Xenopus tropicalis: one gene and its partner. The protein of the gene in region 1 interacts with the protein of each later gene in a pairwise test. Links are inferred from orthologs where the notes say so. Each region holds a gene or a part of one and is shown on either strand. Other genes may lie near its edges. The genes, in order: syt4 and nbr1.

Region 1 (3,836 bases):
TCATCTTGAGCTTCGACAGATTCTCCAGGGATGATGTCATTGGTGAAGTCTCTTTTCCTCTCTCGGGAATTGAACTGTCTGATGGCAGAGTGCTAATGAACCGGGAAATCAATAAAAGAAATGTCCGGGTAACTTATTTCATATGTTTCTCTTTATTAGCACATTTATTGATTTTTGCATTAATCTTTAGAAATGAGAAAAAAAAAATTTGGGGGGGGGGGGGGGGGGGGCGGTCCACACGCTTTTTCTTTTGATTTTATCAAAAATTCAAAATTTTGAATTTAAATTCAAATTTTATCAAAATTTTACATTTATCATAAAAGCCTTCAAGTTCAGGTATGGGATCCTGTCTCCCATAGACACCATTTTAATCAAATAATTCAGAATTTTAAAATTGATTCCCTTTTCTCTGTAATAATAAAACAGTACCTGTACTTGATCCCAACTAAGATATAATTACCCCTTATTGGGGGAAGAACAATCCTATTGGGTTTATTTCATGGTTAAATGATTCCCTTTTCTCTGTAATAATAAAACAGTACCTGTACTTGATCCCAACTAAGATATAATTACCCCTTATTGGGGCAGAACAGCCCTATTGGGTTTATTTAATGGTTAAATGATTCCCTTTTCTCTGTAATAATAAAACAGTACCTGTACTTGATCCCAACTAAGATATAATTACCCCTTATTGGGGGCAGAACAGCCCTATTGGGTTTATTTAATGGTTAAATGATTCCCTTTTCTCTGTAATAATAAAACAGTACCTGTACTTGATCCCAACTAAGATATAATTACCCCTTATTGGGGGCAGAACAATCCTATTGGGTTTAATTAATGTTTTATTGATTTTTTAGTAGACTTAAGGTATGGAGATCCAAATTACGGCAAGACCCCTTATCCTGAATACCCTTGGTCCTGAGCATTCTGGGTAATGGGTCCTCTACCTGTACTTTTGCTTTCATGAAAAATAATGTTCAAATCTAGACCACTGTTCACAAAGAAAAACTCAAGTTTTAAATTGTAAAGAGTAAAGTAAATATTTATATAATTACACTATCTTCATATTTTATTGAAGCTAATTGGTAATTTTACAATTTTAACTGTAAAAAAAGTAGGAATTATTAGGAAGTTATTTTTGCATCAATGTCATCTACATTGTTAATATAAATAGTTTTATGCAACTGTATTTATTGTATGCATTTATTTATATCCAAGTCCCTACCATTTACATTAATATAAATATCAAACCCGATTCCTTTTAAATATTATTTTTTGTTTGCCTTTAGAAATCAGCCGGACGTGGAGAGCTGCTAATCTCTCTTTGCTACCAGTCGACAACAAATACTTTAACTGTTGTTGTGCTTAAGGCTCGGCATTTACCAAAAGCTGAAGTGTCAGGATTATCAGGTACTGTTTTGTTCATCTAAAGGGTCTGGAATATAATATATGCTTGGAATATGGATTTGGGGATTCTGTTCTAGTTCTATGATCTTATTGTTGTTGGTACTTATAGCTATAGACATCTAAATAATAGCTCCATGTTGGATAATAGCTCCATGTTGGATAATGGCTCCATGTTGGATAAAAGCTCCATGTTGGATAATGGCTCCATGTTGGATAATGGCTCCATGTTGGATAATAGCTCCATGTTGGATAATGGCTCCATGTTGGATAATGGCTCCATGTTGGATAATGGCTCCATGTTGGATAATAGCTCCATGATAAAGCTTATCCATTAAGTCAGGGATCCCCAACCTTTCTTACTTGTGACCCACGGTCAAATGTAAAAAGACTTGGAGAGCAACACAAGCACCATAAAAGTTCATGGAGGAGCCAAATAAGGGCTGTGATTAGCTATTAGGGAGCCTCTATGCACACTATCAGCTTACAGGGGCTTTATTTGGTAGGAAATCTTGTTTTTATTCAACCTAAACTTGCCCCCAAGTCAGGAATTCAAAAATAACTCCCTGGTTTGGGAGCACTGAGAGCAACATCCAAGGGGTTGGGGAGCAACATGTTGCCCCTGAGCCACTGGTTGGGGATCACTGCTGTAGGCAAATCAAAGAAGAAACACCATACAAAGGGTTTTTATTCATCCAGGTCACGGTATATCTAGTAGAAGTTGATTTAGAGCCAGTCCAGTTGCTCTAGGCTCACTTCTACTAGCTATAAAGCAGATGGTTACTTAGTCAAGCTGTCTTTCCCTAATGATCCCAGTGTCACCTTCAGCATCAGTTCTTGGCACAACACCACTCACTGACTTGCAGCCTCTCTGGTTATTATACTAATAACTTCTAGTATCTGGATTCATTGGTTTCCTTCTTTCATTTTCTGGTTCCCAGACGTAAGGACCATGATTTTATTCTTCCTACTTTGGGAAATTTATTAGGATAAATTAATATCATAATAACAGTAGTATACTCCCCTGTAGGGGCATATAAATTAGGGATACTTGGTAATTGTATCCCTTGGTGCTTGGAACTCGAAATTCCTCAAGTTCTTGAGAAATGCATGAATTTTTTACTTTTTAAAATACAGGTATGGGATCCCTTATCCGGAAACCCATTATCCAGAAAGTTCAGAATTACAGAAAGCCCATCTCCCATAGACTCCATTTTAATCAAATAATTCACATTTCTCTATAATAGTAAAACAGTAGCTTTGACTTGATACCAACTAAGAACAGCCCTATTGGGTTTATTTCATGGTTAAATGATTCCCTTTTCTCTGTAATAATAAAACAGTACCTGTACTTGATCCCAACTAAGATATAATTACCCCTTATTGGGGCAGAACAGCCCTATTGGGTTTATTTAATGGTTAAATGATTCCCTTTTCTCTGTAATAATAAAACAGTACCTGTACTTGATCCCAACTAAGATATAATTACCCCTTATTGGGGGCAGAACAGCCCTATTGGGTTTATTTCATAGTTAAATGATTCCCTTTTCTCTGTAATAATAAAACAGTACCTGTACTTGATCCCAACTAAGATATAATTACCCCTTATTGGGGGCAGAACAGCCCTATTGGGTTTATTTAATGGTTAAATGATTCCCTTTTCTCTGTAATAATAAAACAGTACCTGTACTTGATCCCAACTAAGATATAATTACCCCTTATTGGGGCAGAACAGCCCTATTGGGTTTATTTCATGGTTAAATGATTCCCTTTTCTCTGTAATAATAAAACAGTACCTGTACTTGATCCCAACTAAGATATAATTACCCCTTATTGGGGCAGAACAATCCTATTGGGGTTAACTACTGTTTAAATATTTTTTTTAGTAGACTTAAGGTAGGAGATCTGAATTAAGGAAAGACCTCTTATCCGGAAAACCCCAGGTCCCAAGCATTCTGGATAATGGGTCCCATACCTGTACAAATGTAATAGAAACTCTTGAAACTTGATGGATTTTTTGTGTATTGAACATAATAATCTGGTGCAATCACTGTGCAACAATAAACCAGACGCTGATGGGTTTTTCAAGCAGATATGATATATCTGATGTGTCCCCCATGCTTGTTATTCTGTGTGTGTATGGGGGAGGAGGGCGGAAGTCTAAACCAAATGATTAATGGTTCAACTAATGTGCTTCGTGCTGTCCTTTACATGCTATTATCTGAATCAATGGCTTCTCTGATGTATTGCTGATCTCCAAGAAGGTTTTTAGACTTTCAAGGAATTTCCAATATGTGTATAGGTAATTAATATTAAGGGTTGCTGGATATTTATTTTATATATTTTAAAGCCAAGCAGATTTTTTTGGGAGCTTAAGTGAAAGTGATCGTTACCGAGAAGTAGTTTTTTAAAAGTTAGAAATTGGATGTTTG
Region 2 (3,286 bases), on another chromosome or scaffold:
GATACGAAAAACTCGCGTTTTTACGCAAAAATCGTATTGGTAACGAAAAATTCGTACAGAATCCGAAAAAATCGCAAAACATACGAAAAAGTCGCAAAATGTTCGTTTTCAAGTCGGAACTTTTCCAATTCGGGTCGGATTCGTGGGTTAGTAAATCAGCCCCATAGAGTTAAAATTGATGGAGATTTTTTTTTTCTACATTAATTATCGTACTTAATTAATGTGACTAGTGTTTCCAGGTTATCATTCTGAGCATGCTCATTTAGGAGTTGCAGTTCAATACAGATCATGAATGAATTCTTCTTTATGTTCTTATGTCCAACATATATCTTAACAATCAGTAGTGACAGTCTAAATAGTGACTGTCTATTGCATCTTATAGCAGCCTCTCTGGCATTTGTGAGAATCCTAGCCTCATTCCAACTGATCCCATGTAAAATTAATATAGGTTTACTCACTGATTTATACTCTTGTTTAATACTCTTCACTTATTTGATGGTTTTCTGAAAGATTCTTCAGATGAAAACACATCAGCCTTAGAGCCTACAGCTTGTGCCCCAGCACACAATCAACAGACTGATCACGCAAGGTAACCCAACAGTTAATCATGGTTATATGGAAGATTACATAGATCATGTATCCAAGATAATATTGGTGATTTCCCATGGATGCACTTCAGTCTTGTAACTGTATTAAATTCATTGTGTATATAAACTTTCACATTGCTAAAATTATGTGGGTCTATCGGCCTTCTACTTTGATTACTGAATTTTTTACTTGAGCCAATGTCATGCCAACATGTACCAGTTTGTATTCTTGGTTTGCCAGCTTCCTTGCAATCTCATTTCTGTTTTTTGAGATAATAAAGGAAACAAAATAGTTCTGTTATGTTTAATGCATGTTTTTGATTTCCAACAGACAACTCACCAGTGTCAGCATTGCCGGGGGTCTTGTGAAAGGTGCCCTATCTGTTGCTGCTTCTGCTTATAAGGCTTTATTCTCTGGACAACCAGAGATAAATCTGGTGAGTGCAGCAACTCTGTCAACTTTAACCCTTCATTCAAGTGTTCATAGAAAGGCTTGCATGCATTAGTTAGTGGCTAAATGGTTAGTGTTATGGGCAAAGTATCATAGAGCTTTTGTTTTCTATGTGAATGTTGTTAAAAAAAACAGAATGGAGAATATGAGCTCCATGTATTTGAAGAAAGTAGGTCCCGCCTTAAGATGCCAAAAGTTAACAAATGATCTCCTGAAGTCAGATACATTAGATAGCTTTCAGAAAAGCTAGTGGTGCTCTGTACCTGCCCATTATCAATATATATAAGACATTAAGACATTTTGTGTAATGAGCTACTAAGGAAATGCCTTCCCCTTTAAACAAAACAGGTATTGCATGAGGGCAGAGGAACATTTGATTTTGTATGTATGTGCGGTCACAGCCTCATTGCCTAATGTTTTAAATTGTAGTGGTGAGCACAACTTTCTCTTTTTGCTATAGCTTTAAGAAAGGGTTGGATGCCGTTTTATAAAATTATAAAGTACAAAGTTAACGAAATTAGCACTTCAAGTACAGAGTTGATACAGGGAGTGGTGCAGTTGCCATTGTGGATTCAGGAAGGAATTTTTCCCTTTCCGAGGCAAATTGGAGAAGCTTTAGAAGGTGTTTTTAACCTTCCTCTGATTCAACTAGTTAGTCAGGGTTCCCAAAAATATTGAATTGGTGGAGGCATTTCCAAAATCTTTTATTATTACCTATACTATGTTAAATATTCTATTTAATGCCAACAACTCTGCTTGCTTCTCCATCTCCAGCCAAGAAATTCAGAAGAACAAGACAGAGCCATGATGGCTATCCTCCTCGAGATGGGATTCTGTGACCGCCAACTCAACCAACGCCTGCTACACAAGCACAGCTACAACCTCATGGACGTAGTGACCGAACTGATCCAGATCAACGACAACGATTGGTACTCTGCTCGTTACTGAACTAGAGAAGAGAGCTTAGTTCTGCCCTTAGACATTTTGAAGTAGAAAAAAAGCAGATGTATAATGCGTTGCTAGCAAGACACATCTTTTTATTTGGCCCTATAATTTCCATTATATTTCCATTACTTTAGTTAAGATTCTCTGGAAGAACAATATTTGCATCAAAAAGAGTTTCCAGCTCTATAGATAAATGTGCAATGAGCAAGAAGTGCCCCTTTGGTGTTGGCTGACACGGGCTTGGTGTTATCAGACTGAATGGCTGATACTGGAATAAGGAGTATCAATACACAGTATGTAAATCAAGTCCTGAACTTATTAGGAAGTAATTCTATTTCCTGAAGCAACATTGATTTAAAGGCTCAGAATATGAATTTTCTCAGTATACTAAGAGCTGCAAAGATTTAATTTAAGGGCAGTAAGTGGGAAAATCCTGGCAAGATCACAGAGATTTTCATGAAGCGGAAAAATCTGCTTTTGAAAAAAACAATGTTATTTGTGAATGAATGTTTCTGTAAATAGATGTGGGGAAAATGATAAATAACTAGATGAATACTGTAAACAGGGGCCACTTTTGGTGCACTCACCAGCAGATGAATAAAATATCTTTCACTCTAAAGATTTTGCCTCACTTGTTTCTTCTGGGTTCTGTGTGTGTGTGTGACTATGTCTATCATGGGTCTTAAACAATTTAAAGACTATTTTTGGGTAAATGATCTTCTTCCTTTCTCTTTCATGCAACAGTGCACACAAACAGCTGCTGCCAGTCCGTTTATATGGAGCCTTAGTGGAACAGCATGCAAAGGTTTCAAAGGCTGTTGCCCTGTTCCTAATTAAACTGCCTATTATAGGGCTCATTTACAGTGCCCCATTGTGAAAATAGCAACAGGCATCTGTGGCTCCCTTCACTAATTCTACTGGGGTTCATTTGATTAGAGCTCTGCCCCTATATGTTTAAATAATTTTTAACAGACCTAAGTCATGGTGATCTAATATACAGAAAGATATCTTATCTGGAAACCCTCAGGTCACAAGCATTTTGAATATATCCAATACACGTATTATATATATATATATACCCTAGTTTTTTCAGATAAAGTATGACTAGTTTGTGCAACATATTGTGTCCTTAGTATCACTTATAATAAAATTTATAATATTATGGTTTATGTATTTATTGATGGAAAAAGTAATGTATTGGAGTGCTAAAATTTCTTAAAGGAAAATGGGACAAAGAAGAAGAAATATCTCAAGAGAGAAAACTGGAAATGATAGGTCTAAAAAATCAATAATAATAAGTAAG

What was found.
Region 2: the proteins of syt4 (region 1) and nbr1 interact in binary tests that used the Homo sapiens proteins (3 or more experiments, as listed by UniProt). The two-hybrid records come from large-scale screens. The link is inferred for Xenopus tropicalis from reciprocal best matches to the Homo sapiens genes SYT4 and NBR1.

What each region holds. Positions count from the first base shown.
Region 1 is NC_030677.2:207,891,622-207,895,457, forward strand, and holds part of syt4 (synaptotagmin-4), read left to right. Parts: coding exon 1-128; intron 129-1,289; coding exon 1,290-1,410; intron 1,411-3,836. UniProt on the Homo sapiens protein: Synaptotagmin family member which does not bind Ca(2+). Involved in neuronal dense core vesicles (DCVs) mobility through its interaction with KIF1A.
Region 2 is NC_030686.2:19,645,669-19,648,954, forward strand, and holds the end of nbr1 (next to BRCA1 gene 1 protein), read left to right. Parts: intron 1-510; coding exon 511-589; intron 590-918; coding exon 919-1,024; intron 1,025-1,812; coding exon 1,813-1,986; 3' UTR 1,987-2,602; downstream 2,603-3,286. UniProt on the Homo sapiens protein: Ubiquitin-binding autophagy adapter that participates in different processes including host defense or intracellular homeostasis.